Linked DNA regions of Oryctolagus cuniculus. The protein of the gene in region 1 purifies or fractionates together with the protein of each later gene. This does not show direct contact. Links are inferred from orthologs where the notes say so. Each region holds a gene or a part of one and is shown on either strand. Other genes may lie near its edges. The genes, in order: ASPH and LRRC59.

The links.
Region 2: the proteins of ASPH (region 1) and LRRC59 purify together in Homo sapiens (co-immunoprecipitation; 3 studies listed by BioGRID and IntAct, with this or other methods). This does not show direct contact. The link is inferred for Oryctolagus cuniculus from reciprocal best matches to the Homo sapiens genes ASPH and LRRC59.

The regions. Positions count from the first base shown.
Region 1 is NC_091437.1:87,148,558-87,152,932, reverse strand, and holds the start of ASPH (aspartyl/asparaginyl beta-hydroxylase), read left to right. Parts: upstream 1-1,459; 5' UTR 1,460-1,474; coding exon 1,475-2,413; intron 2,414-4,375.
Region 2 is NC_091448.1:26,317,146-26,321,622, reverse strand, and holds the start of LRRC59 (leucine-rich repeat-containing protein 59), read left to right. Parts: upstream 1-1,664; 5' UTR 1,665-1,924; coding exon 1,925-2,029; intron 2,030-3,597; coding exon 3,598-3,657; intron 3,658-4,477.

The DNA.
Region 1 (4,375 bases):
TTGTCAATATTCATAAAAGCAGGAAGCATAGACAGATATAAAATGCATAATTCTAATACTAGGCTCAGGGGAATTGGGTCCCTGGAACTCAACTGCACAAGTACACGCAGCCAACAGGACCTGCCATTGTAAATATTGTTGATACATTTTGTTTTATTTTATAATTTTTATTTTGTAATGCTGAGTGTATAAATGTCATTACAGCTGTTTGTGGTCTAGGGAGGAACTAGGTGGCCACTTCCTTCTTGTGATCTGTACTTACAAAGCCTCTGTGGTGGCCTGGTGCTGCCTCAGGTGCACAGCAGTGCACCTTGTCAGTTCTGGGTTGAGTTTCTGGAAATGTAGGAGCAATGCAGCATTACTTCATGGCCTCTTGGTGTCAGCGACTGAAGACATTTAATTTCTTTGCAAGGTGGACTTTGATAAGCCACCACTTTGCGTTTCAGGCCTATCTTTGCGGGTAGGACCTATAAGGTTTAAGGGGGCAAGGGTATTTGCTAAGGGAAGAGGGAGCCAGTTGGACATTCTCCACTCAGAAGGAAGCCTCTTCCAGGAAGAAAGATTTGGACTGTAGACTCTCGGCCAGATCAACTGATTTCACATCCGTGACCTCACTTGGATCTCGCAGAACCTCCAGTTTCCTCAGCCAGAAAATGTGGACACATAGCATGGCTTTGTGAGAACTCAAGAGTTAAAATATCTTGGGGTCTGAGAGCACTGTTTTCTTGTTTGTTTCTGTGTTTGCAGGTTAGGTGTCATTGCTATTTCATATTGACCACCATCACTCAGATTTGTCTCATTGCCCAATGCCCTCAACTCTCGTTGAGATAATGTCATAGGGCGTTGCCTGAATGAATGCATGGCTGTGTTGGGGGAAAGAAGGCTATGCCATAAAAACTGAAAGAGACGCTTCAGGTAAACTCAGTCAGCGCCCCTGGGCCTGCCTCCCTCTCTCTCTCTCTCTCTCTCTCTCTCTCTCTCTCTCTCTCTCTCGTCTGTGTGTGTGTCTCTGGAGAAAAGAAAGTAAACGGAGGCCACGCAGCACCAGCTCTGCCCTCTCCAGCTTCTGCCTGAACCCTCCCGACACACTCCCAGAAGGTGCTGCAAAACACTGCCAAGACCTGGGGGAAAGCCTTAGGAAGTTGACAGACTTAACAAATCAACAAACATTTCTTGGGCACAGGGTGCGCAATTGGCGACACAAAGGTGATAGTGACGCTGCCAGTGCCGGTCTGGTTCAGCCAGGAGCTCAGACATTTTTAACGTCCTGTCCCGAATTCTGAAGCCACTGCAGGTCTAAGGCACCCTTCGAGTTCGCAAGAGGGGCCTGAGACTTGGGGACACGGAAGAATGATAACGTAGGCATTGGCCTGGCTGCGTGAGATTTCCGATCCTGGGTGCCGTCCAGGGTAAGAAAGATAACCTCCTGCGTCATATGCACCTTCCCATGTCTTAACTTTCTCTGAAAACACGGATGGCAAATCCCTGCTTTAACCCTGAACGGACCCAAGACCACGGGGTAAGCGCTGGACTAGCCCCGACCCAATTTCTGATGCGCCCTCACGTTAACACTGGTAAGAAACAGGCAGCTCTTCCCCAAGAAGCGGGATGGCATTTCTCGGCATCTGTGGGAAGGGGGCCCGGGACAAATCAGGCCAAGAGGCGGCGCATTCCGCCAGGCATCGGCACACGTGTCCCCCTACCCCGGCGCCCCGGCCCGCCCCCGCGCTCCGCCCCATCCAGATCTAGCCGGGTCCGCCAACGCTCGCGAGAATCCGCTCGGCTGCTACGCTTGCCACGTTCCAAAGGACCGAGACAGCCTGGAAAGCTGAAGGCGGCTCGAGCTCACAGGCTGCGGCGCCGCGCCAGAACAGCTCCAAGTCTGCAGGGGGCGGGCAAGCGCGGCAGGGTCCGGCCCCCTCATAGTGGCGCTTGCGATTGGCTCGTAGCCGTCGTCACTCAACTTCTGTGGGCGGGCCGAGGCCGGGCGGGGGCGTGGCCGAGGGGCGGGGAAGCCGCGCGCGCTCGCCTCCGTAGGGAGTCACAGGTTCGGCGCACGCGAGGGCCTGGCGCGCGCAACCTGCACGCGGGCGAAAGTCCTCGGAGGCGCGGCGGGAGGTGCGGAGGCACTGACGCTGCTGCAGGAGCCCCGGCCCGCGCCGATCCAGCGCCCGCTGCCGTCGGCCGCCCCCCAAGATTCCCCAACACTGAGGAAGACTCCCCCTTCCTCGCCCCCAGTCCTCGCCAGCCCCCGCGGAACGCGCCATGGCCCCGCGCAAGAATGCCAAGGGCGGCGGCGGCGGCTTCACCACCACGAGCAGCAGCAGCAGCAGCGGCTCCAGCAGCAGCGGCGGCGGCGGCGGCACGAGCACTAGCAGCAGCATCGGCAGCTGCAGCACCAGCACTCGGAGAGGTCAGAGGCCCTGCGGGGCGGGGTCCGGCGCTGCGGTCCATCTCCCCGGGTGCCCCGTCCTCCGTGGCGTGTCGTACCTCCTCTTGGCGCGCGGGGCGGAGGCCGCGCTCGCGGGGCCTGGCGAGCTGGAGGGCCAAGGGGGCGGAGCGGGGTCCGCGCCCTCGGGTGGGTCTCCCCGTGCTGCCCACACCTGCAGGGCGCAGCCGAGCTGGCCGTTACGTGTCAACTCTTTCTTGGCTGTCAGTGGAATTGAAGCCGGGAGTAGGCGAACAGTTCATCGTTGCCCTGCATACTCGGGTTGTGGGGACTTTGAAAATGTGCCAAAGTCAGGGAAAGTTGAGTTCCTGCCTAACCAGCATCGTTTAAGAGCAACTCAAAGGAGGACTATTAGGGGGATGGAAGTTGGGGAGCGGGGATTGGGAGTGATTTGAATGTCCTTGGAAATTACCTGAAATGTTTTTGCTTTTTTATAGCTTTTTCACATGAGTTGTAGTTACCTTTAAAATATCAACGGATGCCATGAAATAGCTCATGAGCTTCTATTTTTTCCTAAAATCAACCACATATTCACCTTTCTCTCTCCTTGTGCTTACCGAACAAGAACAGATGTTTTAAATCTGTTTCGTCTCATATTTCAGTGGTTCTGTTTCTTTTATATTCCCTTTGACTCATATTTAGGATACTGAAACTGGAATGCACATGTGTGTTGAATGTGAACAACAAACCTCCCTTGGGATAGTTTAGACTGTTGCTGAGCGCTAAATGCAGGGCATTCATGTATATCTGAAAATAACATAACTCCGGTTATGCTTCACAGAACTATTTCCCATATAGCACTTATTTTCATGTGTATTGCTATGGCCTCAATCCCAACTCTTCCTCATTTCTTATCCCCAACTCTTGGTATGATCCTGTCCCATAAGAAGTGCTCAAATATTTGATTAGCAAGCGAATGAATAGTTGGGGTGAAAGTACTGCAGTTAAAGCCATTGCACACATTTAAGTTCAAGAACTCATGTTTGCATTCCAAATGGGAAGACACACACAGTTTGGGGTTCAAAACCAGCCTCATAATTCACCTTTGATTTAAGTAATCTTTTGTGTTCCTTTTCCTTTTGTCTTTAAATGTCAGTTAAACACAGCCCCTCTGGGTCTGGAGCTTCACTTTTTAATATTTCTAAGTGAGAAGAACCCTGTGTGCTGCCTGAGCACCAAGCAGAGGAAGTTGTTAAACAAGACATTAAAGTTTTATGTAGTTATTTTCAGGTGAAGCGTATCTTTGTTCTGTCTATCCTGTGAGCTCCCTAGAAGTGATTAGATCTGAGGAAATTATATGGCCTTTTATTGATAAGTTAGTATTGAGAAATGTGTGTTACATTTCCACATCTACCGAATTAATTCTTGAACCATTTTAACAAGGAGTGAATGAGTTTAGGAAACATTAGGACCAAAATTAACTTATTCTGACTTTTCGTCTTCAGGCATTATGAGCAAACTCTGTCCACATTGAGGATCTATAGCCTGTTAAGCATTTGGCACATTGATTCCATAATTATCCTGAAACAGACTTAGCATGCATCAGACACAATATGTAACACAGAGAAAGGTCCTTGTTACAAACAAAGCAAAACAACAGAAACAACACAGAACAAAATAAAAAACAAAACCCCGGAGTTGGTGTTGGAGTCCTGCGTGTTACATAATGAGTATTCTTTTTTCACAGCTATTTGTTTTCCCAGCAAATGAGTTCTGACTGTGTGTGAGGCGGGGAAGGCACTGGGGATGCAAATCAGGAATCTTTCCATCATCCTACACGGATGAAAATGAGTATGTGGAACAAGCAGTAAAACCAACATTTCTTCTATGACTATGATTGTCTGGTCACTGAGGTATAGACAGTTTCTGCTGGGGAAATCATAAAAGCCAAGGAATTTTTCAAATGCAGTGAGGCCCATGGAATTC
Region 2 (4,477 bases), on another chromosome or scaffold:
TGCATGGGAGACCTGGAAGAGTCTCCAGGCTCCTGGCTTCAGATCAGCACAGCTCCAGCCACTGTAGCCAATTGAGGAGTGAACCAGCGCATGGAAGACCTCTCTCTCTCCCTCTCACTCTCTTTCTCTCTCTCTCTCTCTCTACCTCTCTACCTCTCCTTCTCTCTCTGTGTAATTCTGACTTTCAAATAAATAAATAAATTAAAAAAAAAAGAATACTGTTGCCTGTTACTCTGATGTCAATACACACACACACACACACACCCCACTCACACACACTGCCCTATGCATTCGAATGCAGGTTTTTATCTGTGTGAGGGCACAGATCCTCCTACGTGGTATATAATAATTATTTGCATGGCCTGTAGGGTCCTTCGGGGTAGCAATAACAAAGCGTAGTGAGCAGAAAGAGGACCTGGAATCAAGGGACTTGTGCTCAACCAGCTGTGTGGTGGAGGACAAGTTACTCTGCCTCGCTGGGCCTTGGTTTCTTCCTCCATAAGAGGAGCATTACAATAAAATGTGCCTCGCAGTCTCCTGTTTGTCATCAAAGCAAATTAACGGGTGCCAAAGGACATAGGGATTGCCAAAAGCTAACGTCTCATCATCCACGTGTCCTTGCCTGTCTCCCAGAAGCCCGGCACAGTGCGGAGGCTGGGACCGTGGGTCCTGGTCCAAGGACTGGAGTACTGCCCGACTTCACTGGGTCTTCAAGGCTCCCCTCTGGGACAATAGCCCGTTTCAAGATGAGCAAGCTGAGGTTTGCTGCCTCATTCATTCCTCCCAAAGACATCCGAATGGGCAAATCTCACGCCGGGGCTCAGACTCTGGGGATACAAAGGTGAGTAAGGCACAATCCCCGCCCTCACATTCGGATCCACCAAGAAAAGTGTAACATGAGGCAGACGGCAAATTCTGGATGATGATTAGAGTGCTTCCTGGTTCCTGCCTTAATCTCTTCCCGTGTTTCACTCACTCGACCGCCCACGCGCAACAGCTGGCTAACATTTTAATTCATATTTTTCAGGGACCCACTGATAAGACCAAGGCAGGGCAACAGCAGAGCCAGGAGGCACACCCAGCGTGCCGGGGGCGGGGGTCCCACTTAACCCAAAAGTGCAGACGGCGCTGTGCCAGAGCCCCTGGAGGGCTCCGAACTTAGCCCGGTGTTCAGGGTGGTCAGGGGAGGCTGCCAGGACTGAGGATTAGCTGGGCAGAGAAGCTGGGTAGAGGGAAAGGTGCGTGGGGCACCTGCCCCGGAAGTCTGATGGGCACCAAGGCCAGGCAGGGGCTGCAGCTTGGGAGGAGGCCGCAGAAGCAGGCAGCACCCAGCCCAGGAAGGAGAACAGATTTTCAGAAGGTGAAGATAGATGGGGAACAAGAGGGAAGAGAAATTCAGGAAGTAGAGTTTTCCGGAAGGCGGTGATTTTGCGTGGTTAAGAAGAGGACAGGGAGCTTTTGCTCCTTATTCAAAGGGGTGGGGTCAGATTTGACGGAGTCAGTTTTAGATGCGAACGCAGATCTTCTGCGTGGAGCCAAGGGGACCAGGGCTTCCCGCAGAGAAGCGGAATTCAAAGAGCTTTGCACCCGATCCCAGTGGCGGCGGCGGCGGCGGCACTACACGCCCCTGGACACCAGAGGGCGCACTCGTACAACCTCGAGCCGCTCTGGCCCGGCGCGTCTCGGTGGCCGCGGAAGGTGACGTGGACACGGAAGTGGTCGTCGTCGCGGCGGTACCGGTGGGAGCGGGGCGCGGGGCTCCGAGTGTGGCCGGCGGGCGGACGGGCGGCGGCGGTCTCGCACCGGCGGTGATCGGGGGCGCAGGCGTTGTCGGTTGGCTGCGAGTCCGCCGGACCCTCGAGAGGCTTTTCCTTTTCCCTGCCCGTCGGAAGCCCGGACCCGGGCCCGCTCAGCCGGCGTCATCATGACCAAGGCCGGTAACAAGGGCGGGAATCTCCGCGACAAATTGGACGGCAATGAGCTGGACCTGAGCCTCAGCGACCTGAATGAGGTCCCGGTGAAGGAGCTGGTCAGTACAGCCCCGCTAGGCGCAGGCGCCCCCTTCGCCTGGCAGTGGCCCCCGCGCGGGCCGCCTTCTGTCCCGTGCCTCGGTTTCCCCGTCTTTAAAGCCATGGGGAGGCGGGGGGCGGGGGGCTGAGCCCCCGGGGCGGCCACGTCCGGCTGCAGTGTTCTTCCTGGGATGTACACGTGTCACTTTGGCGCGGCTCCAGAAGATGGGGGAGACCGTCTCTTCTGGCCTTGGGCTCTTCACCAGCCAAGAATGAGTGATGGGGTGGGGGGGTGGGGACTTTCATAGCCCCAGCCGGTGCCCGACCCCAAGCCGAAGCCCACCGAGCGGTTGCTGGCTGTATTGGAAAATGAATGAATGAGTCGGTGTGGGAAAATAGGCCTCCCGGCAGACCTGGGTGTGGCTCGGGACCTGGCAGCCTAGCTGGCTGTCCCAGCCCTCGGGCGACTAGAAACGTGAAGTCTCCCCGGCCAGGCTGGCAAGGTCTCATCCCAACTCCGCCGAAACTGGCGGGAAACCCCCCTCCCCCCACTCTTCCTCCTTTCTTACCCCACAAATTGAAGCCTGCCGTCCTGGGGCGATTACTACCTACTTCGCTGCCTACGTGGGTCTGGAGCCTCGGCCCCAGCCGCCCCCACCGGGAGTGCTAGCTTCCTACACCTTCCTTACTGCGAGTGATGGACGACCCTTGCCTTTAGCAAGGCCCAGTCTTCACCTCACCAGGGCGCTATGTAGTGTGGGGCTTAGCATGGGGTTCCAGCTCACATGGCAGCTTCATCGCTTGCTGGCTGAGTGCCCTTGGCGGCTGGGTAACTCTTGGGCCTAGATCTCCTCACTTATGAAATGGTGATCATCTCTCATTTGCTGGTTGTGACAGTTAAAAGTGCCTGGAAGGTGGCAGGCGCTGACAGATGGACTGTTACCGTGGTTCTTCCCACTGTAGCGGCCAACACTGTCTCGTTTCACCTTCTGACACTTGGAAAGGCAGGTCGGCCGTGGGTCCTTAGTGGCCAGCCTTGTTCCAGACTGGCCCCGGGACTGCTATGGGAAACTGATTTGTCTGGTCAGTGCATCACGGTCTCCTGGGGCGAAAGAAGGGTCAGGTGCGCGGGGCCTCTTCCACCCCAGACACCGTGGGAACATGGAGATGGGCCGTGAGGGCCCCGTTTGCACGCCGGCTCCCGTGTCCTCGTGCACTCTCGGTTGAGCGCCTGCTTCCCGGGAGGGCCCTGAAGTGGGAAGTACGAAAATTGCAGCGCTTTCTGAGACTCGGTCCCTGCCCGCAGCCTCACAAGAGGGGCGCTTGAGAGTTTCGGTGCCGTAGAGAATTCTGAGCACCCAGGTTTTCCTTTCTCTGCTGTTCTGTGGCCAAACCCCTCTTTTTGTTCTGCCTTAGAACTGGCTCAGTTTTTCCTCTCTTATCCCCAGCAACACTGTTCTTCGGTGCCATTAAAAAAAAAAATCCTTTCCTAGTCGTGGGAACTTTCCTGGGAAAATGCTTCACTTGCAGGTGTCCCTGAGCCGTGGCAGGTGCCGACTTGACGTGTTTTTCTCATCTCCTTTCCTAGGCTGCCCTTCCAAAGGCCACCGTCCTGGATCTGTCCTGCAATAAACTCAGTACCCTGCCGGTAAGTGTGGCAAGTGACTCGGCCGGCCCGAGTTCTGGGTGCATCGCCTTCCTGCTGCATACGGGGTTGTGGGGGGATTCATAAGACATAGTTCCAGTATAGGTCTTGCAGGAAGGCGACAGCTGAATCTGAGTGTGTGTTGGGGTGTGCATTTGGGAGGTTGGTTTCCACTGGAAGAGACTTGAGGCCTCATTCTTTAGAACAGTGGAAAAGTCAGGGCACAGAGAACTAAAGGCAACAGGAGGCTGGCTGAATCACTGGACTCATCTTTTTTTTTTTAAGATTTTTTTTTTAAAGATTTATTTATTTATTTGAAAGTCAGAGTTACACAGAGAGAAGGAGAGGCACAGAGAGAGAGAGAGAGAGGTCTTCCATCTAATAGGTCACTCCCCAGTTGGCCACAATGGCCAGAGCTGCGCGATCAGGAGCCAGGAGCTTCTTCCGAGTCTCCCACGTGGGTGCAGGGGCCCAAGGACTTGGGCCATCTTGTACTGCTTTCCCAGGCCATAGCAGAGAGCTGGATTGGAAGTAGAGCAGCTAGGTCTTGAACTGGCGCCCATATGGGATGCTTGTGCTTCAGGCCAGGGCACTAACCCACTGTGCCACAGCACCTGCCCCAAGATTTATTTTATTTAAAAGAGTTAGATTTCGGCTGGCGCCGCAGATCAACAGGCTAATCCTCCACCTTGCGGCACTGGCACACCGGGTTCTAGTCCCGGTTGGGGCACCGGATTCTGTCCCAGTTGCCCCTCTTCCAGGCCAGCTCTCTGCTATGGCCAGAGAGTGCAGTGGAGGATGGCCCAAGTGCTTGGGCCCTGCA